Linked DNA regions of Notamacropus eugenii. The protein of the gene in region 3 purifies or fractionates together with the protein of the main gene of each other region. This does not show direct contact. Links are inferred from orthologs where the notes say so. Each region holds a gene or a part of one and is shown on either strand. Other genes may lie near its edges.

What was found.
Region 1: the proteins of ANKRD52 (region 3) and PPP6R1 purify together in Homo sapiens (co-immunoprecipitation; 3 studies listed by BioGRID and IntAct, with this or other methods). This does not show direct contact. The link is inferred for Notamacropus eugenii from reciprocal best matches to the Homo sapiens genes ANKRD52 and PPP6R1.
Region 2: the proteins of ANKRD52 (region 3) and PPP6C purify together in Homo sapiens (affinity purification with mass spectrometry; 6 studies listed by BioGRID and IntAct, with this or other methods). This does not show direct contact. The link is inferred for Notamacropus eugenii from reciprocal best matches to the Homo sapiens genes ANKRD52 and PPP6C.

The regions. Positions count from the first base shown.
Region 1 is NC_092876.1:17,896,448-17,903,393, reverse strand, and holds the start of PPP6R1 (serine/threonine-protein phosphatase 6 regulatory subunit 1), read left to right. Parts: upstream 1-3,938; 5' UTR 3,939-4,080; coding exon 4,081-4,257; intron 4,258-4,277; exon of another isoform or gene 4,278-4,674; intron 4,675-4,688; exon of another isoform or gene 4,689-4,822; coding exon 4,823-5,055; intron 5,056-5,541; coding exon 5,542-5,728; intron 5,729-6,028; coding exon 6,029-6,166; intron 6,167-6,946. Other genes in the region: HSPBP1 (hsp70-binding protein 1), read left to right, coding at 861-1,016, 1,315-1,411, 1,501-1,612, 2,325-2,399. UniProt on the Homo sapiens protein: Regulatory subunit of protein phosphatase 6 (PP6). May function as a scaffolding PP6 subunit. Involved in the PP6-mediated dephosphorylation of NFKBIE opposing its degradation in response to TNF-alpha.
Region 2 is NC_092872.1:447,465,662-447,473,098, reverse strand, and holds the start of PPP6C (serine/threonine-protein phosphatase 6 catalytic subunit), read left to right. Parts: upstream 1-4,429; 5' UTR 4,430-4,494; coding exon 4,495-4,662; intron 4,663-7,437.
Region 3 is NC_092874.1:231,520,042-231,527,537, reverse strand, and holds the start of ANKRD52 (serine/threonine-protein phosphatase 6 regulatory ankyrin repeat subunit C), read left to right. Parts: upstream 1-4,491; 5' UTR 4,492-4,740; coding exon 4,741-4,767; intron 4,768-5,084; coding exon 5,085-5,168; intron 5,169-5,346; coding exon 5,347-5,425; intron 5,426-5,525; coding exon 5,526-5,596; intron 5,597-6,513; coding exon 6,514-6,714; intron 6,715-6,997; coding exon 6,998-7,085; intron 7,086-7,232; coding exon 7,233-7,375; intron 7,376-7,496. UniProt on the Homo sapiens protein: Putative regulatory subunit of protein phosphatase 6 (PP6) that may be involved in the recognition of phosphoprotein substrates.

The DNA.
Region 1 (6,946 bases), on a different chromosome or scaffold from region 3:
CAGAAAACACAGCATGTACAGCAAAGTAAACAGAGGGGTTTTTTGGGAATGTAGATTTTTTTTTTTTCAGAATTCTTCACATAAAGTCAAATTTGGATAACATGAATTTACATAAAAGTGACAGCTGTTTGTATGTCCAAAACAGGACTTATTACCTTTCCCTGTAAACCCCTCCCCCCATTTCCTATGACTATCGAGGGCACCCCCATCCTCCCAACCTGGGGGTCATCCTGGACTCCTCACTCCCTCCCCCTCCTCCCAGATTCAGTATGGTGGCAAAGCCTGTCAATTTCCCCTCTGCCACATCTCCCCCACATGCCTGTTTTCTCCTCTGACAACCACTCCTTGGTGCAGCCCCTCACCCCTGGGCTGTTGCTCTGGGCGGGGCTGCCTGTCTCTGGTCTCTCCCCACTCCCATTCATCCTCCATTCAGCCACATAAAGGATTTTCTTAAAGCTTGGGTCTGACCATGTTATCTCAGCCCCTACTCATTAACCTCCTGCAGGACCAAATATGACCTGCTTGGCTTGGCCCCCTCCCTGCTATCTGGTCTTCCATCTTCCTCCCACACACATCCTCCCAGTCCTATCTCTGCTGTGGGCCTTCCCTCTCCCTTCTCTACTTCCACCGCTGACCTTGCTGGCTTCCCCCAGTCCTGTGCCCATTCTCTTCACATTTTTCCTACTTAGATTGTTTGCCCTCAGATTGTGAACACTTACAGGGCAGGGCCCAGTGCCTGGCACATAGTAGGTGGTTACCCTATGCTTCTCATAATTAATGCTTATTATGGCAATCCCCTTCTCTGGGAGCTGTCCTGGTATCTGAAGAACAAAGGCCTGACCCTTTGTTGCTGCCCCCAGGCCTGGTCCGGGAGCAGGAAGCTGGCCTGCTCCAGTTCCTTCGCCTAGATGGCTTTTCGGTGCTGATGCGGGCCATGCAGAAGGATGTGGTGAAGCTGAAGGTGAAGTCGGCCTTCCTCCTGCAGAACCTGCTGGTGGGCCATCCTGAGCACAAAGGTGGGGGGCGGCAAAGGGGGAGGCATGGGGGGACACAGGGAAGGCACCTTTGGAGCTGGGCACCAGCAGGCAGAGAGTGGGAGAGTGGGAGCCAAAGCAGGAAAATGCAGAACAGATTTTAGTGTTTCTGGGAAAGCTGTGGGAGGTGGGGCAGACTGACAGTTTGGAGCCCATCATGGAGGGAGGGTAGGCCTCAAAGGCTAGTCAGCAGTGGGTTAGGTTCTAGAAAGACCTGCCTCACACTCCTGGGCAGGCAGGGGGACATGTCTCTTTGACCCTGTCTTCTCTCCACCCTCAGGCACCCTGTGCTCCATGGGAATGGTTCAGCAGCTGGTGGCTCTGATCCGAACAGAGCACAGCCCCTTCCACGAGCATGTACTGGGGGCACTTTGCAGGTGAGAGGAATCTTAGGGGTGGTCAGGGTGGGAGGCTGGCATCTTGGGGCCAGCTGGGGCTGTGCTGACCTGGCCATCCCCCTCCACAGGCTGGTGACAGATTTCCCCCAAGGGATCCGGGAATGCCGGGAGCCTGAATTGGGGCTGGAGGAACTCCTTCGACATCGGTGTCAGCTGCTGCAGCAGCATGAGGAGTACCAGGTAAGGGGTGGGGACTGCTGCTTCTCCTTGGGCTCCTAGGAGCAGGCTAGGGGGCTGTGGGCAGGGGTTTAGGCCCAGGGTTAGGGAGGCAGAAGCCTATCCCTAAAAGAGCTCTCTCCTCATTGGGGGCATGAGGCCCATGTGTGCATCATTCCTCACTGCACCAGCCCTGGGCTCAGTGCCAGCCATTCAGCCGTAGGGGGGCCCCCAGCCCTGATGAGGAGTCCTCCTGTCACCTCACAAAGCCTTCCAGCTCTCCCATTCTGTGATGTTGGGAAGTTGTCCTCAAGTGGAGATGTGGAGACAGATGAGCAGAGACCCCAAGCTCTAGGAGAGTACCAGGAACCAGAGGGGCCAGGCACGGCCCTGGAAGGGCAGAGGGGAGGCCGGGGAAAACCCCAGAGCCTGGCACAGCCCAGATCAGGGGCAGCTAATAATGTGCATGAGCCTTTGGACTGAGGGAGTTCTAGAATGTCCCGAGGCCTCTCCCTACCCATCCCAGCCTGGCCCTGGTCAGGGGTAGCGAAGGGGCCCCGAAGGGACCAGCCCTTGTGGTCTTGCGGGTGTCCCTAGGTCAGCCTGGGCGAGAGCAGGATGGGGGGCAGGGGGGTAGGTGGAAGAGGCCGGGGCTGGCCCCCGGGTCTGAGGTGGGGTCCTAGGGAAGCGGCTCCCGGGTGGGGGGCTCAGCCCTGATCCTCCCGCTTCCTTCCAGGAGGAGCTGGAATTCTGTGAAAAGCTGCTGCAGGCGTGCTTCTCCTCCCCCACGGATGACAGCATGGACCGGTGAAGGCTGGGGAGGGACCCAGGGGCCCGCGCCCCGCAGCATGGAGCCCCGCCCCGCCGGCGGCTCCTCTCCAGCAGCCTGCCGCCCACCCGAGGCGGGGAGGAGGCAGCCTGGGCGCCGGGCCCGGGGCGCCGCGAAGCCCCCTGCTCTCCCTCCCCTCCGCCCCCTCCCGTGCGTGCCCGCCCCGCTCCTGGCTCTGCCCTGGCAATAAAGCTGTTTCTTCCTCCCCCTCGAGTGCCGCGTCTGTGTGCGGGGGCGGGGGGGCGGGGAGGGGGGGGGCAGCATTGTGGATGGGGGGGCGGTGTAGAGGGGAATTGACACACAGCCCCGGCGGGGGCGGAGAGACGAACGCGTACGCATGCGTACCACTTCCCGAGGGGGTGGAGGTGCGGGGCGGGAGTGAGGGAGCAGGACAGGGGCGTAGAGCGCCTGCGCAGCAGGAGAGTGCCGCTTTATAAGCCCCCCGAGGCGGTGGGGCAGCGGCTGCCTTTCCTGCACGCAAGCGCAGTCGCGTGTTTTGGTGAAGCCAGGCCGAGAGGGGGTAGACTGCCTGCTGGGCGCGCGTGCGCACGGAGGCCATGGGCTGCGAGGGGTGGGCTTGCACTGCATTGCGCTGAGCTCTCCGGTCCTCGCCACGGGGGATTGTGGGAGACTGCGGGGTGGAGGGGAGAGGGCTGGCTTGCTGCGGCAGGCAGGCGGGCGGGTCGGAGGGCAGACGGACGCTGCGGGGACCGTGAGTGGACAGACGGCACGAAGCCTCGAAGAAAGAGGACAAAGATTCGACCCGCCCGCCTGCCTGCGGCCTTCCAGGGCCGCCGAAGCAGGACCAGGGAGGGGAGGGGCATCCCCCTTGGGCTCTCTTTTATGTGTCGCGGGGCTCCGGCAGCTCCGCAGCCATTTCTCCCCCTCCCCCTGCGCCTGCGCGTGAGCCTGTTCCCGGGCCCGCGGAGCTTTTCTAGAGCGGCTGCGTGAGCTCCCCTCCCCCTCCTAGCTTCAGGGCGCCTGCGCACCAGCTCCCGCCCCCTTCCCGCCCTCTCTGCGGCTTCTCTGTCGCGCCTGCGCGCCAGCCATTTTGCTGCCGTCTCTCAGTTCTGCGCTCGAGCTTTCCCTGCAGAGGCTGCAGACGCAGACACAGGGGCGGCCGAGGCGGACGCAAGAGCGAGAGCAGAGCAGCAGCCGCAGCCCCGGCCCGGCCCTGAAGTCCCGCACCCGCGGGAGGAGAAAGAGGAGCGGGAGGGCGGGGGGGGGGAGAAACCGCCGCGGGTCTTGCTACCCCCCTACCGCGCGGCCCCTCCTCCCCCCACCGCGCAGAGGTTCAGGGCGCCTGCGCGGGCCGGGAGCGCGCGCCCACTTCCCCGCCCCGCCCCCTCCCCACGGCGCGCGCCCCGATGTGCCCGAGGCCGGAGCTGCCGCTGCTCGCGCGCCCAGGTCAGTGACCCTGCCCCGCCCCTTGCGCGGAGGGGGAGACTGAGGCCCCGCAGGGGTCTTCCGGGAGAGGGCGGGAGCGGAGGAGAAACGAACCCGGGGGAGGAGGGGAAGGGGCGGGGCTCGAGACCCCCGGGCGCAGACCGGGCGTGTCCCCCTGCTGGGGGGCGGGGCAGGGTGTCCGGGTGCCAGGTGACTGCGGCCCCGCCCTCCGGGGAACCTGCCCGGGCCGAACCCTGGACGGGAGGGCTCCTGGGGGATGCTGGGAAATCCCCCCCACGGCCTCCTCGGCTTGTTCCTCCCCGGTTGCCATTGGAAACGCCCCTCCTTTCCCTGCTTTCCCTCTCCGCGTCCCTGGGCTGCACAGCCGGGGACCCCCGCTCCATTTCTGGGCTCCTGGGAGGGGCACATCCAGCGCGCAGGCCGGCACCCTGGGGTGAGGAGCTCGGGGATGACCGCCGAGCCCCCCTGGGGCCAGCGCAGCACGCCGGCCTCGGGGCAGGGGGATGGCCCTTTCCCCTGCCCGAAGCCTCCCTGTTGGGTCGGTGGTCTAGGATTGGAGGCTCGGACAGCTCGGTCAGGATCGGGATTTGAACCCAGGGCGTTTCTCGTTGCGAGCGTGGACCGTTCTCGGGCCTTGCTCGTAGTACCTGAGCAGCGGGCACTGCTGCCCAGCTGGGGGCAGGGGGGCCTGCTGGCCTGTGCCCTGGCACGGCCTCCCTCCGCTCGGAGCTCTCGTGGCTCTTGCCCTGCGAGCCCCCCCCACTGGGGCCCATGGCTCTCAAGGGTGGCCATCCAGCTCCCTCTTGGCCTCCTTTAGAAGGCTGCTCCCCAGGAGACCCTGTGTTAGGGGGTAAGTCGGAGGGAGCCCCTTGTTCAGAACACCCGGGGAGAGCTGGGCTCCATGTGGGGGCTACCTTCTCAGCTTGCAGCCGGATTTTCCTGGGCTTCCCCTCCTGCACCCCACCTGCTCCAGGCTCTTCTCTGACCACCCTCTGCAGGGCGCCATGTTTTGGAAGTTTGATCTGCACACCAGCTCGCACATCGATTCGCTGCTGCAGAGGGATGACCTGGCTCTGGCCGAGCTTCTGGATGAGGAGGATGTGCTGCAGGAGTGTAAGGTGCTGCACCCCAAGCTGCTGGACTTCCTGCTGCGGCCAGCCCATCTGCAGGCCCTCGTGGACTGGGTCACCCGGGAGCCCCCAGCTGCCGGTGACGAGCGGCTTCGCTACAAGTGAGGCCGTCTCTCCTCATCTCCCTCTGGTTCTTGTGTCCTGTAGAAGGACAAGGGCAGGGCCCAGGTCCGAGTGCTGGTTTTGTGTCAGCTGCTCAGGCCACGCTGTTGGATCACTCTCCCTCATCTCACACCCAGTTATTTTTCCTGCTGGTTATCCTGTTCCCGGCCTGGGCCATCCTGCCCCAGGCCCTCTCTCTGCAGGTGTAATCCTGAAGCATGCAGTGCTGTGTACAAGGAACCCCTGTGAGGGAAGGGGGGGTGTCACTAATTATTCTCCTTGTTTTGGTCTCCTGGATTTGTTCCCTCTGGCACCGCCCCCCCCCCCCCCCCCAGCATAAGAACCTTTGATTGAATTTAAGCTGGAGTGCTTTTTTGTTTTACAAATTGGGAAGTGGAGGTCCAGAGAGGTGGCCAGGTTGCGGGATGGTACCTGTAGATTTTTGTTTTTCTCTAGGCAGAGCCTGACAGCTGCCTCTTCTCCAGGTACCCCAGTGTGTCCTGCGAAATCCTGACCTCGGATGTCCCTCAGATCAACGATGCTCTTGGGGAGGATGAGGCTCTTCTGGGCCGCCTCTATGCTTTCCTACAGAACAGAGCCCCCCTGAACCCCCTGCTGGCCAGTTTCTTTAGCAAGGTCATGGGGATCTTGATCAACCGAAAGACGGACCAGGTAGGTCTCTGGGGGCCTGGGGAGCTCCCTCTGACTCAGACCTTGATTAAAGAAGTGCCTGCTTGTTCTGGTTTGGGGAGACATGGAGGAAGTAGACAGCCAGGGTGTGCCCAAGTGATTCAGTGCCTGCCCCTTAGGGGGCCTTAGAGGAGGTGGGAAGGATCTCTGGAGGAGAAGCTGCCAGGGTGGGGGCCGATGGCCTTGATTGAAGAGTCCTTGGAGGGGGAGGGGCCCCACCCTGCAAAAGGCCTATGCTGTGATGGTGGAAGGGGTTAGCCAACTGGTTTCTTCTCCTCTCAGATCGTGGCCTTTCTGCGCAAAAAGGCTGACTTCGTTCCCTTGTTACTCCATCACATCGGGACATCGGCCATCATGGACCTGCTGCTGAGGCTGCTGACGTGTGTGGAGCAGCCCCTGCTGAGGCAGGAGGTCTTCAATGTGAGCCTTCCCCTTCCCTCCTTCTCCCCTTCCCTCCCCCATCTTCTTCCTCCCCTCCCCCTCCTTCCTTCTTCCCTTCCTCCTCTCCTCTGTTCTTCTCTTGCTTTCTCTTTTCTTTTCCTCTCTACTCCCCATCTTTTCTTTTCTCCTTTTCTTTCCTCCCTCCTCCTTTCTCCTCTTTTCCTTTCCCTTCTACTTTCATCTTCCTCTTTTCTCCCTTCCCCTTTTTCTTCCCTCTAGCAGTCAGGATTCCTCCTTTCCCCTGGCTGCCCTTGAGCGCCCCCTGGTGGAGCCCCACCTCTCTGAAGCAGTAGATGGTTTATGGTCCCTTTAGGGGCCCTGTTTTTTTCTCTGAGTCAGGGTCACATCCCTCATCTTGACATTTGGAGTCCCTTCCAGCTTGGGACTGCTGATATTTTGGCATTTCCTTACCTTTCCTCTTGTTGGCTCTGCTTTGACCAGCCTCTATTCCAGCCGCAGCAGGGTGAGGGGGATACCCTTCCTATCTTAGGGTCCTGGGTTGGGGGGGTGGCCAGGAGAGGAAGCCACCTCCCTTCTGTGGAGCCCCTTGAACCTCCGGTCTCAGCTCTGGCTGTAGGACAGCATCCCCTCATGTGCTTAAGGGTCAGTGTTCTTGTATTTCTTGAGGTTTTTCCTTTTAGCTTCTTAAGTTCTCCTGCAGCCCCTCTTCAAATCACTGGCTTGTGGAACTGGGAGCCCACTCAGCTCCCCCCCCCCCCCATCTTTTTCCATGTGAAACATCTGCCAATTCTTTTCCAT
Region 2 (7,437 bases), on a different chromosome or scaffold from region 3:
AGAAAGAGACATGATGGAGATTGCCAGCTCCTCTCATGTTGGCTTCTCCCCAGAGGTTTTTCCTCTTCATGGTCATGAAGAAAGTTTGGAATCCCATGCATCTTCTGTCTAGATGCTGGAAGCCAGAAGGAGCTGAAGAGATTCAAGAACCAAAAGAAAGTGGACAGCCTGGATCACTTACCAATTTCTATTCTCCACGCAGGGATGGGCATTGGATTCCATCAACGAGGAGAGAATCTCACACAATTAATTGGTCCTTTGATCCAGGGTTACACACACACACACACACACACACACACACACACACACACTCTTCTGTCTGTGTGTATATATATGTATGTATACATATATATACACACATGCATACACACACATATACATATGTATGCATATTGTCTTCCCTAATGGAATGCAAGCACTTTAAAGTGAGAGATTGTTTCTTTTTTGTTCTTGCAACCCCAGTACTCAACATTGTATCTGGAACTGTGTTTAGAATTCAGTAGGTATTTAATAAATATTTGTTGATTGATTTATTGATATATCTCTTTAGATATGGGTGAATGGCTTCTGTGGTGCCTTCTGATTTTTGAATTCTATAATCATCTAAACTTTGACTCTTCTCTAGCTCCAAATACAGGCCTTATATTTAGTGGGCTTTTTGGGAATATTGTTACATAGTTTCCTTGAATGTCAGAAAAGTTAAAAGACTTCATAATAATGAAATTTCCATTTTTATAGTACTTTAAGATTGAATCAATCAATCAATAAACAAGTACTTATTTAGTGCCTACTATGTACCAGGTACTGTGCTAGGTGCTGGGAACGCAAATATAATAAATGAAATGATCTCTATTCACGAGGAATATTTACAAAGAAAGCTCTTTCTTTGAAACAACTCTATGAAGAAGTATGTATTATCTTCACATTAAGTTGAAGAAGCTGATGCTGAGAGAGAAAGAGAGAGAGAGAGAGAGAGAGAGAGAGAAGGAGGGAAGGAGGGAGAGAGGGGGGGAAAAGGGGAGAGGGGAGTGAGGAGGGAGAGAGAGAAGGAGGGAGGGAGGAAGAGGATGATGAAGGGGGAGAAGGTAAGAGAGAGAGAGGTTGAGCATCTCGCCAGTGATCAAATGAGTCATTGCTAGGGCTAGACTTTGAACCTGTGTAGCCCAGGCCAGCACCATGCTACCTAAGATCACAAAACTAGAATCATTTTTTCCCCTGAGAAGTTCAGAGTCTGTTACAGACACCTTTATCTTTAGTAATCAGAGCATTTAAAGCTGGAAGTCTGAGGCTTTCATTTTAAAGGTGAGGCCCAGAATGAAGGAGATTTGCTCAAGGTTACAAATGTAGGAGGTAACAGGATATGAATTCAGATCTTCTGATTCCAAATCTAATGTGTGTGTTCCATGACATGACTTGCACTTGACTTTGTTTTTGAGTGAGGGAAGGCTGTGCAGGTCACCAGCTTCACTTCTCCTCCAGAGCCATCTGAATCCAGTGACTGCATATTCATCAGGATGACTGGAGATGACCCAGGATGAGACAACTGGGGTTAAATGACTTGCCCAAGTCACACAGTTAGTGAGTGTCAAGTGTCTGAGGTGAGATTTGACTTAGGTCCTCCTGACTCCTGCACTGGTGCTCTATCCACTGCACCACCTAGCTGCCCCTAGGTGGTGGCAGTTAGGTGGTACAGTGGATAGAATGCTGGGCCTGGAGTTAGGAAGACTCATCTTCCTGAGTTCAAATCTGGCTTCAGACACTTACTAAGCTGTGCCACACTGGATAAGTCACTTAACCCTGTTTGACTCAGTTTCCTCATCTGTAAGAGAAGAAAATGGCAAACCACTCCAGTATCTTTGCCAAGCAAACCTCAAGTGGGGTCATGAAGAGTCAGTAAATAGTGGGAAAATCTAATGACTGATCAAAAGATCCTAAAGGCCACAGTCCTTTGTGGTCCCTATCCACTTCAAAAGTGATTTTGGCAAAGTAGCAAAAAAGGATTCAAGGGGTGGTAAACATTATGCAATTTTTAGATGATCCACAAATTTTAATAATAGTGTTAATCCCTATTTCACAGGACTGTTTTAAAGAGCAAATGAGATAATAAATGCAAAGCTTTAAAAGCCTTAAATATAATTGTCAATTGGCATAGAAATGTCAACTATTATTATATTTCTCTTAAAAAAAAATCACAGAATCCTAGAACCATCTCTTCTGTCCAAGAGTAGTCCAGATCCTTCCGGTGAGGGTTAGCCATACACAGAGAATCCAGAGTACTCGGTCTGCGTACTTAGAGATTAAGGAGATTTTAGGGAGCATCTAGTACAATTGACTCATTTTAAAGAGGCAAAAACTGAGACGCAGAGAAGGGACGTTAACTGGCAGGCTGGGCAGAATGGGTAGAATGTCGGAACTGGGAGGGCACTTGAAGATAATATGGGGTAAACCCCTCATTTTAAAGATGAGAACAACGGAGGCCCAGAGAGAAGTGATTTGTCCACGGTCCCATAAAGAGCACGGGGCCAGAGACGGGGCTGAGATCCAGGTCTCATGTCTCCTAGGACTCTTTCTGTGAAACCACTTACTGGTTTGCCTGGATTGGGATCCCGGTCCTCAGTCAGTCCGTCTCCTCCCGTATCTTGGCTGTCGTCTTGCTTAGTGCAGCCGGGAAGGACACCCGGCGCGCCTATGTGCACCCCCAGGCCTATGACGCGGACAGGATTCCCCTCCCCAGGACCTGGAGATCAGCCGGTCAGCCCACAAGTTCCTACTATGTGCCAGGCATTTGCTAAGCGCTGGAGATACAAAGAAAGACAAAAAATAACCCCTGCTCTCTAGAAGCTCAGTCTAGCGGGGAGACAACCTGCAAACAACTGCGTACAGACAAGATACAGACAGGATAAACTGCATGTCATCTCTAAGCGAAAGCACTAGCAATAAAGGGGAGCAGGAAAGGCTTCTTGCAGAAGGTGGAATCTGTGCTGAGACTTGAAGGAAGCCAGGGAAAGCAGGAGGTGGAGGTGAGGAGGGGGAGCATTCCCGACCAGGAGAACCGCTACCGAAAATGTTCTGAATCGGGAGATGGAGTGTCTGGTGGGAGGAACAGAAAGGAAGCCGTGGTAACTGGATCGTGGAAAATAACGCGGAGGAAGCCTGGAAAAGTAGGAAGGGGCCAGGGTATGAACTCGGCTGTGAGTTGGGGGGCTCGAGGAAAAGGGGGGCGAGGGACAGAGAATCACGCAGGGCGGGGAGGGGCAAGGGGGAGGGCTCCATGGCTTGGCTGTCCAGAGAAGGTTCTCCCACGTCACAATTCAGCATCGATCCCCTGCACGAGACAAGGCGGCCTTTGCCTGCTGCATGTAGGTGTATGTGCAATTCTCTCAGCGCGTTTATGTGCATAAACCAGAGGTATAAGAAGCGCTGCTAGATGTGGGAAACTACAAATCCCAGGCGGCTTAGCGAGTCCTGGTATGTTTCCAGAGACGCACAGGTCTCTGTCGTGTAACTCCCGCGACTCTCCGTCTTGAGCCATTCAGAAGTAGGGCTGTAGGGGCTGGCAGAAAGAAGAAGCGGAAGGGCAAACTTTCACGCCTTGACGCAGAGACGCTGCGCGTCTACAGGAAGTGACGTTGAACAGAGTTCCGGCTTCGGCCTTCTCCGCCGCCGCCGCCACTGCGGGTTGTTATTCCTAAAATGGCGCCCCTGGACTTGGACAAGTATGTGGAGATCGCGCGGCTCTGCAAGTATCTGCCGGAGAACGACCTGAAGGTAAGGGCCGGGCTTCTGGGCCGTGCCGGTGGGGCCGCGGGGCGCTGACTCCGGAGTCCCCCGCCTTCCGGGAGTGGTGCAGCTGAGAGTCCTCCCGCCCTTCTTCCCTCCTTCTTTCCGTCCCGGCCCCCGCCCCTGTCAGCTCCGGGAGCCCCGGGGAGCGGGGGCGCCGGCAGCGCCACCTCCCTGCCTCCCGGCGGCTTCTGTGCCTCTTCCCTTCCCTCCACCCCTTCCCCACCAGGCTCTGGAGCCGAGCTGCAGAGAAGGGGGGAGTAGCCACAGAAAGTCAGAGCTAGAGGGGCCCTGAGACATCGTCTGGTCCAGCTTCTCCGTTATTTTAACAGATGGGGAAACGGAGGTGCAGAGAGGGGTGGGCACACCCGAAGTCAGCGGCAGAGCTTGGCACGGGGTGAGGGTGGGGACGGGGGCAAGGGGGCGTAGGCAGTGGCCTGAGGTCGGATCTTGAAGCTCGCTCGCCTGGCGGTTCCCAGCTGAGACCTGGGGGTGCCTCTCTCGGTGTGGTCCCCCATCGGCGATGTGGCAGGGGACGTGCCTGCTCCAGAAGGGGTTCTGCGGGGTGATTCTTGGAGCCCCTTCCAGTTCTGAGATGCTCTGATTCTGTCATTTAAGGGGAAAGTTACAGTTGAAGTGTTTGAAGGGTTGTCATGTGCGAGAGGTATCGAGCTTGCTCCGCTTGGCCCCCGAGAGCAGACTTAGGAGCAGTAGATGGAAGTTGCAGCGATTGCGCCTCGATGTAAGGAAAAACTTCCTGCCAGACCACAGCTGACCAAAAGTGGAATGGGCCACCTCAGACCTCCCCTTCTCTGGAGGTCTTCCAATAGAGACTTGTTGGCCCAACTTCTTGGGGAAGCTGTAGAAGGTATTGCTGCTCAGGTATGAGTGGGTTCAGATAACTTCTGAAGATCTTCTAGTTTTTAGAGACTGGGGTTTTGATAGCTGTTTGTACTGAAGGTTCCGTCCCCTGTCCCCTGGAGAAGAGGGATTAGACTTGTTCTACCTGACTCCACGGACCAGAAGTAGGAACAAGTGGGTACAGGTTTTCAAAGTGGCGTATTTTTCAGATTTCCTGAAAATTAGAAAAGGGGGCAGAGACGTGGGGGTTCGGGCCGAGAAGATCGGGGGTTTAAGTCTTAAAAGAGTCTTTGACATGCACAGTGCTTGTGGCCTTGGGTAAGTCACTTAACATCTTAGGGCTCAGGCGGCTGTTTAAGACAGTGAATTGCAGAGAAGGTGCCAACTTAAATTGGTAGAGGGAGTTTCCTCTTCTGGGATTTCTGTACACCAAGTCAAAGGTTCAACCCCTGTTCCCTCTTCCCTAAAAAAATAGAACAGGTTTATAATGGAGTCTGCTCCCTGAATAAGTTGCGAGTGTCCAGGTGCTGGATTTTGTCAAGCAAACGGTAATAAAGCTCATTTATTCAGGAGGATTTAGAGGGAATTTATGTTTAGTTACAGTATAACTAGGTGATTTTTGAGGTCCTTTCTGACCAAGAGTTTTTGTGATTCTACTGTTGTTGCTCTCTCCTTAAAGGGGGAATAGCCATTTTCTGATCCTTGAAGATTCGGGACTGTTAAGATCAAGCGTTTATCTCTCTGCTTCAGATTGTAGCAACTTGCTTTGTTTTGATTGAGTGGCTAATGATAGCCCCATTTTAGACTTAACGATACTTGCAGGGAAAAAAAGTTTTCTACTTTGTTGCAGAGTTTGAGTGTACAATATTTAGGTTATTGTTAAAATATGATAGCAGATAGACATTGTAATTTAATTCAGGAAAGTGAAATAAACCATATTTCCTTATTTCTCTCCCATGCCTCAAATTGACGTTGCCTATAAGACATAACAGGACAAACTTACTTGCTTGTTATACTTGTGTAAAGGTGTGGTAAAATAAGCTCTTTTGTTAGAATGTAAGATCCTTGACGGTACAGATTGTTTCATTTTTTATATTTGTATCTCCAGTGTCTGAGTTCCTAGTATAGTTCCTGGTACATAGTAGGTGCTTATTAGATGTTTATTGATTGACTGGTGCCTCTTTTAGCTGTTTTTAAAGTTTAATCTTCTCCCCTCCCCCAAGTTGTTCCTGATATACTGCCATGTTTTAGTAATTTGAGAATGAAGGAATTTAAATCTCTGGAATATTGGAGGTTTTTTTCTAAGTGGTTTCTATGTGTAGTGCTTAGTTTTTGTGCTTACAGGTGGGGACTAGTGCCAGAGTATTGGTTTACTTAGTAAACTTTGATCAGCTGTTTGCTAACTGGTTAACCTGTAGACAGATTTCTTTCCCTTTTTGAGAGATTAAAGGAATTTATCAAGGTAAAATGTATAAATTCTGTTCTTATAAGAAAGAGGAGTCTTGCTTCTTTTGCTTTGTAAGTCTGCTCAGTTCGTGAAATTTACACTTAAGTGCAACAATTAGTATAAGCTATTATATTTTGTTTGGAAGAAATTTATGGGCAACTTATTTTTAAACAAGATGTCTAGAAACAAATGAGAAGTCAAAAGATTGTTTCAGTAATCACAGTTGTGCACATTTGCATAGGTAGTACTTTGCAACTTATGAAACATTTTCCTCATAACACTCTTATGAAGCCGATTATATAAATACTATCCTAGTGTGCACCAGAAAAGTGAAGTGATTTGTCTGTAGACATGTAACTAGTGATAGAGTTGTGATGGCAACTGAGGCCTTCTGACTTCCATTTCTAGTGTTATTACTTTTCTAATTTCTCTGTTTCTTCATCTCAGTGTCTTAAGATTTTATCCTTGATTCTTGTCTCTTGGCAATCTCATTTCCACACCTTCACCCATTACTGTAATACAGATGACACCCAAATCTTGTTCCACTCCTGGCTTCTCCTGAGTTCTGGATATACATGAGTCCTTCTACATGAGTCTATACAGGACCTTTCACTGGCACTTCAAACTCAATAAACCCCAAATTGATTTCTTATTTTTTCCCCAGTACAGTGGAAAAAGCATTGATTTAAAGTTAGAGGACTTGGATCTGAGTCTAACTTCTGCTGTATATCAGCTATGAGACCTTGTTTATACTTCCTTACTCTCTGGGCTTGGAGTTCAAAGATCTGAATTCAGATCAGCTTCAGAGGTCCTTAATAGTTTTGTGACCTTGACAAATCACTTAACCTCTGCCTGCCTGAATTCCCTCATCTGTACAATGGGATGATAATAGAACCTACCTTACAGGGTAATGGGGATCAAATGAGAAATTATAAAGCACTTAGTATAGTGCCTGATACATGGTAGGAGCTTAATAAATGTTCCCTCCTTTCTTCCCCTCCCTTATGCACTTAGGTTAATTATTGGTTGTTTTGTATTATAGTTGTAGTTGTATATATGTAATAGAGACAGCTAGGCGGTGCAGTGGTTAGAGTATTTGACCTGTAGTTAGTGTAGTTGCACACTTTGTGTGCAAATCTAGCCCCAGACACTTACTTTGTGAACCCAGGCAAGTCATTTTCTGTCTCAGATTCATCATCTATAAAATAAGGATAATAATAGCACCAACCAAGGGTTGTTGTAAAAGTAAAATGAGATAACAATTGTAAAGTGCTTCACAAACTTTAAATTGATAAAGAATTATTATTTATCATTGTATCTGTTATCATGTTCTATCCTTCTCTTAGATT
Region 3 (7,496 bases):
CAGGACCACTGGAGATGGCCCCTTTCATGGAAATGACCTGGATGAAGATCGAGGAGACAGAGAAGGAGTGATTAGACAAGTATAAATAGAACTAGGAGAGAGAAAAGTCATGTTGTTGACTAGAGAAAAGTCAACCTAGTGAAAAGAGTATCAAGGAAGGTGACTGACAGTGTCAAAGGTCAAGAAGTAGGAGAATTGAGAGACCATTAGATTTCACAATTAAGAGATCATCAATAACTTTGGAGAAAACTGTTTCCATTGAATGGTGAGGTCAGAAGCCAGACTCTAAAGAACTGAAAAGAGAGTGAAAGGAAAGAAAGTTACAGAGACAGAAGGCAGGTGGAGATGGGGGGAGAAGAAGTAGCTTTTAGTGAATGGACTTCATTTTTTTTTCCAAAATATAAGCAAAGGTTTTCAGTTGAGAGCGTTGGAGAGGAGGAGCTATAGAAGGTTCAAGGAGGGATGAAAAGGTTTGAAAAAACTGCTGTGATTCATGAGATAGTGAATCAATTGGGGATATGTAAAAGGATTGACTTGCTGCATTGAAGGCCCACAGTCCATGCCCTCTTGTCTGGCTAGGTTCCTGCCCCTCCTGATCAGGCATAAAGGGGTTGGGGCACAATCTCTAGTCATGAAACAGAACAAAATTAACTGGGATATGGGATTGAACCCATATCCTCATTTGCGTTGTACTCTGATGTAACTACCACAGATTTCCTTAGATCCTACCTCCCCGTAGATCTGCCAGGTCAATTTAACTTACTATCCTCCCAAAAAATGATATTTGCTAATTATTGCCTCTTGTGCTTTCACTCCTAAACTTCCTGTCCTTTCTCTACTAATTCACTTTTACCACTTCGTCTTGATTCAAAACTCCTCTTCTCCAAGAAGCATTCTCTGATTAATTTTACTCCAATTTGATTTCCTCAGTCTTATATCATCATTCAATGCTTTCTTTTAAGGTTTATGTTATTTTAACTGAATTTTATGTTTCACTTTGAAGGAATTCTCTATTGCTTATGTGTTTATCTCCTCAAAAAGATTATAAATTATAGAACTGATTTCTTTTGCATCTTTCCCCCACAACAAATGAAGTGCTCTGCACACAGGAGAATCTCAAAAACATTTATTAAATCAAAAAATGAAAAACTAAATGAAAACCAAGGCACAGAAAAAGCAAAACACTTGAGATCTATTTCTCTAACTTTGACATAGAACCCAGTCTCTAGAAACAAATCTTTTCTAGCTTCTCTGAGCCTAAAGTTTCAAACTTGAGTGTTCTGACTCCCATATACTAGCCCTCCCTCCCTAGGTTCTTTTTATTGGGCTCAGGAAAAAAAAAAAGCAGTCTTTACTATTTTATGTTCCTTTTTCTTTCACTGGGGAATCTCCTTCCTGTGCTGTTTGATGATAAAAATAACTCCTTCTCTTCATCCAGCTGCCCATGGAACCCAGTAAGTGCCTTCTATTCACCTTCACCCCATCCCAGACCCAAACATGTGACCTGTGTTCATCCTCTGACTAGTGTTCCTCATATTTCCCAGGGGCTATTTTGGGCCATATCTTTGGGCCAGTCCTCTAGTGATATAACTCTCCTCTGGAAATTGTCCTTTCTCCCCTAACCCTACTCCATACACTCCTCTTCTTGTCTCAAACTCTTCATTACATATCACTAGATAAATTGTTAAGAACTGAAAAGTATCTTAGAGATTATCTAGTCAAAATATCTCATGTTGCAAATCAAATATCTCAGAGATTCCAAGTCATGTGCTCAGGATAACATAGCGAGGAATTTATGGAGATGAGATTGTGTCTCTTGAATCCACTAGAGTTCAAGGTACTTTTTACCACACCATGCTGTTTTCCATATCATCATAAGCATGTCATCAGTTTGTTTACACATGTTTATATGGTAGGTGCTATACAAAACAATTTACAGTTCATACAAAACATCCTTGTGGTGCTGAGCATCTTGGATGTCAAACTGAGAAGATTCCTGTTCATAAGATGATTATAACCTAATCAAAGAGTTAGGATGTACACATATCAAAAAGATACACAAATGAATACAATATAAAGGTCCCGTAGTATATATGGCCTTTGTATACCTTGGGGGGGGGGGGAGGGTTAGTGCAACTCCTACCTTCACTGAAGAGTTTGGTCCTCAGAGCACTTGCCAGGTATATATTTCCCTCAGGGTTTTAAAGGTACCTCTGAAGAGGAAGTAGGTATCTTCCTAATAATACTAGGGGCTTGAGCCATGTTCCAGTGTATCCTTGATATCATTTAATAAATTAACAACAATTAACTTTTACAAAGGAATACTTAGTAAGAAGACATAGGAAGAACAGAAATGCAAAACATTTTCCCCAACAACTAGGACCCAGCCCTGTAGTATATTTGTTCTCTCATGGAGTCATTAACTTCTGTGTGGCCCATTCTAATTTTCAGGTACTTTGTGGCTTAGGTAAGTTTTGTATCTCTTGTATCAAGTTGTTAATTCTCTTTCTAAGATGTTCTTCCATAGCTCTCATTTCTTTTCCAATTCTTTCCTCTAACACTTCCATTTATAAAATAATCTTGTGAGTCTTAAAAAGATACACATGAAAAAACAACCCCCTTGCCTCATTTCTTGTAGGAATTCTAGTTGAACTTGTGCCCAAGTTGTGTTTTACTTTAGGTTATACATGTAGATGTTTTGGGGCCATTCTCTTCTCAGTTTGTGTCTTAGGTGCTCCTATCACCATAAAAGCTCTTTGTGGTAAGAATCTATTTTTCTTTGCTCATTCTTCCTGAAATCTAGCCTTAATTCTGAATTTTAGACTGTGTTAAGGCCTTCATACAGGGCAAAGCCTAATTGGTTTCTTTGTTCTCTGAGTTGTGCAACCTCCTAATCTGAATTAGGGTCAGAGCAACACAACTGTGTACTTGGCCCTGGTTGGAGCTCCTGTAGAAAGCTGCAGAACTCAACTACTATAGGCAATCAAAAAAAAAAAATGCATATTCAGAGTGATAGAATTGCAGGCTCTCCTTTATCTTCAGACTGGTCTGGAGGTAGAATCTGAGATCCTATTGTACTGCCAGGGTCAGAACCACATAGCTGCTGTTTGCTTCTGTTCCTGCTCCTTCTCTACTACAGGACCTCAGCTCGCAACTGCTGGTCCTGGACCTGAGACTTAGGTGCACTGGATCTATGACCCAGCTCTGGAATATGAGGGACAGACCTTCCAGTTGGCATGTGTCCTTGCTCTTTGGACAGTATCAGACCTCTCTGCGATAGATCCAGGAGGTCTTCTCGCCCTAGTGGACAGTCACTAGCCCTTATTCAATCCCTGCATTCAGCTCTGCACTATGACCCTATTCCCAGTTTCAAAAGGTATTTCTGTTCTCCTTTACCAACCTTGGCTGGAAAAATTACTCAGTGATTTTTTTTCTTGAATTTCCCCATCAGGATTCAGTCTGGTACCTTTCCTATATGTTGGTGGAATTGTGTTTGTCCTTTGCTCTTAAAAAGGACCATGACATCAGGAAGATGATGACATGACTTTCAGTTGACTTTAATGGGAGGGAGGGAGGGCTGTGCGAGGTCACCAGCCTCACCTTCTTCTCCTGATCCATCTGGGTCCGGTGGCCTGACATTCATCAGGACGGCTGGAGATGGCCCAGGGGGCGGTGGAGACCCTGGAGACCCTGGCCCTTGTAGGCGAAGGCCTTGGAGAGGATGGCTGCTTTCTTGTACTCTGCCCTCTCGGCCAGCCCCTACACAGCTCAGCTGCGGAGTCCTGCGGGCGAGGACGTGTCTTGGTCCATCGGCTGTAACCCATTTCAGAAGTAAATGCAATGGGGCGGAGTTCTGTCCTCTGCGCAGAGACCCAGGCAGTAAGCAGAACACGTGTGGCCCAGCGGCTGGGGGTGTTTGTACTTCTCCGAAGGGGGCGCGTCCTGACTCTGGCCAGACTACACTCTCGTAAAGCGCTCTTCTCAGCTTGCCTCCTGGGGGACGCGGTTCGGTGGAAAAGCATTAACGCGGGGCCGGAGGCTGGAGCTGGAAGGCCAGCTCTGTTCCCAGCAGTGTGAGCGTGGGCCTCGGTTCTCCCTTCTGCAGAATGGGCTGGAGGGCTGCAAGGGAGATCCAGGCTCAAACTGACCTCAGGCCCTCTGTGACATGAAGAGACTGGACCACACGGCTTCTGGGTTCCCTTCCAGTTCGGGAATTATGCTGCGCCACGTGACTACTACACTTGTGCAGGGTTAAACCCTAGAAGGCTGAATTTCCAGAGCTCCCCACACTTCTCCATCCCTTTTCAGATCTGGGGAGCGCTGCGGGTCAGGCTTTGGCCAGCAGGGGGAGCTGCGCGCTTGGGTTTGACAGTCGGAGCTGGAGCTAGATCCGGCCACCGGGGGGTGCTGCAGGGTAGGTTGCGGCGCGCTGTGGAGCCAGACTTGGCCGCCAGGGGGCGGAGCGCCGCCAGGTCGGATCGCCACCGGTGCTACGGGACGGCGGTGGGGCCGGCAGGCCCTGGCGGGAGGTCCGGGGGGCCGGAGCTGCGGGGCCCGGTGTGGCCGCCAGGGGGTGCTGCCGGCTCCCGCTCGCCCGCCTCCCGGTAGGCGGGGCCCCGCTCTCCCAGCAGCCGCTACCGTCGCTGCTGCTGCCGCCGCCGCCGCCGCTGCCCCGTGTCCCCGGTGGAGCCACCGCCGCTGCCGCCGGGAGCTCGATGCGGACGGAGCCTGGGCCGGGCCATGGGGATCCTCAGCATCACGGACCAGGTTAGTGACGGCGCCGCCCGCCGCCCGCCGGGCGCTGCCGCCACGCGAGCTCGGGGATGTGCGGCCTAGGCCTAGCCCGCGCCCCGGCCTCCCGCGGCCCCGGGCCCCCGCGCCCCGGCCCCCCGGCCCCCCGGGCCGGTTCCGGTCCGCCCCGCCCCGCGCCGCCCCGCATCGCGCACACCCAGCCCGCCCGCAGGGCCGGCCGGCCCCGCCTCCGCGCCCGCCGCCCTTGCGGCGGTGACAGGGCACCCGGCGGGCCCCTCGCGGCGCTTCCCGGCCCGCCCCTGAGCCGCCCGCCCGCCGCTCTCTCCCCGCAGCCGCCCCTGGTCCAGGCCATCTTTAGCCGGGATGTGGAGGAAGTGCGCTCCCTCCTCTCGCAGAAGGAGAACATCAACGTGCTGGTGAGCGGGGGGCCGCCGGGCCCCCACCCCGCCCCCGCCCCGGGGGGAGGCGCCCAGCAGGGAGAAGGGGGGGCCGGAGCGGGGGTCCGACCTTCCCCCTGTGCCCGCCTGCGGGATGGAGGGCTGGGCACCGGGGTGTCAGGTCGGCGCGACCCAGCGCGGCCCTTCCCTTCAATAGGACCAAGAGAGAAGAACCCCTCTGCATGCTGCTGCCTATGTAGGAGATGTCCCCATCCTCCAACTGCTACTGCTGTCAGGTAAGAGAGGAGGCCAGGGCGCGGCGAGGTGGGGCTCTCTGATGCCTCCTCCTGGTCCCCAAGCCCAGCCTCCCCACATGCCTTCTTTACTTGTCCCCAGGTGCTAATGTCAATGCTAAGGACACACTGTGGCTGACCCCCCTACATCGCGCTGCTGCCTCTAGGAATGAGGTAGGCTCAGCTGGGCCCTTCTGCCTTCTAATGAGGTGGATGGTGAAGTCTTATTCCTCTGTCATCCTCCTCTAGAGTCTCATCTCCTGTACCATCTGGAGAGGAAAGTCAGATCTTGGCTCCTCCCTCCTGACCTCTGGGCAGGCTGTTTATGGGGGGCTGAGCTCTGCCAGCTGATTTGACGTCAGGGGCAGCTTAGCACTCTGCTGGCAGGCTGCAGGGGGCTCCAATGCCAGGCCTAAATGACTCATCTCTCCCTGAGGGGCCACCTTAGAGCCTGCTCCCCTTTTGAGCCCTGGGAAGAGCAGGAGAGGGCCCCTCCCAGGGCTACCCTGGTACTCTCCTGGCTTGAGCCATCATCCTAGAGGTCACAGCACAGTGCTCAGAAGGAGTTACTGAGGCTGATATATTAAGGGGTAGGGGGCTGGCTAGGTTTTGACCAGGGAATGGGGATGGAGGTCATCTGTTTTCTTAGCTTGTTATTGAGATTGATTTCCGTGGTTGTGGAAGGGTTGAAGGTGGGTGTGTACATGAAGGTGGGAGGCTTTATTTTTCCTGGAATTCCCATGGGGGTAGGGAGGATCAAGGAGTCTTTAGGATGTTTACTTTTGCTTGGGGAAAGGATGTAAGGGGTACTAAGATTACTAAGACTGGGAGAATGAAGTTAATTTGGCTTGAGGACGGGTCTGTGTTTACCCTGGAAAGATAGAGGTTCTATTCAGATGACTGTCAGTTGGTGTTAAGGTGGTTTGTATGTTTTCTTAGGGAAACCGGGAGTAAGATTGTGGGGAAGAAGGGATTCTGTATTTACTGGATGTTGAGGCTGTTCTCATTTCTAGAGTTAAGGCACCCATGCCAAATCATCCCCTCACCTCCTGTTCTTTGTTCTTCTTGTCCTGATAAATTGCCACTAACAGAAAGTACTGGGGCTGCTCCTAGCACATTCCGCAGATGTGAATGCCCGGGACAAGCTATGGCAGACACCACTGCATGTGGCTGCTGCCAACCGGGCCACCAAATGTGCTGAAGCCCTGGCCCCGCTGCTGAGCAGCCTTAATGTGGCCGATCGAAGCGGGCGCAGTGCCTTGCACCATGCCGTGCACAGTGGGCACCTGGAGGTATGGATTCCACTCCCTCACTGCCTGCTTATAACTTGTCTGGGGCATCCAGACACTGTGGTTATGGGGCTTGGTTTTCCATGCCCATCCCCTGGTCCTTTCCCTTTCCTAGTCTCTGCTTTCTCATTAGTCCCTGTCCATGGTCCTTTCAGCAATATATCAGTTTTCTCCTCAGTTTCCTGAGAAAGTGGAGAAGCTTTAGTATAAGATGGCTGGGGATAGGGAAGGGTGGAAAGGGACTTATGCCAGGCTCTAAATGGAAATGTCCCCTGTTCTCACACAGATGGTGAACCTGCTTCTGAACAAGGGGGCCAGCCTTAACGTCTGTGACAAAAAGGAGCGGCAGCCACTACACTGGGCAGCCTTTTTAGGTGAGGAAGAATCTTGGAGCAAAGAAAATGTTTGGCCTACATAGGCATAATTTAGAGTTTGAGAATTCTGGGGTAAAGGACCTGAAGTAGAGTTTATTCTCCATTCCCTTTAGCTTTGCCTTATCTCATTCCCCTCCCCTGCTTTAGGGCATTTGGAGGTCCTGAAGCTGTTGGTGGCCCGGGGTGCAGATCCTAGTTGCAAGGACCGGAAGGGCTATGGACTGCTCCACACAGCTGCTGCCAATGGCCAGATTGATGTGGTCAAGCACCTGCTACGGCTAGGGGCTGAGGTCAGGGGGTTGGGAGACTAAGGTTAGGGATTTAAGAACTGTAGAAGAGGTTATGTGGGAAGATAAGGTCAGCATAAGGAAGCTTAGGTTTGGTGGATCTATGGGCACTGGGGAGGTTTGG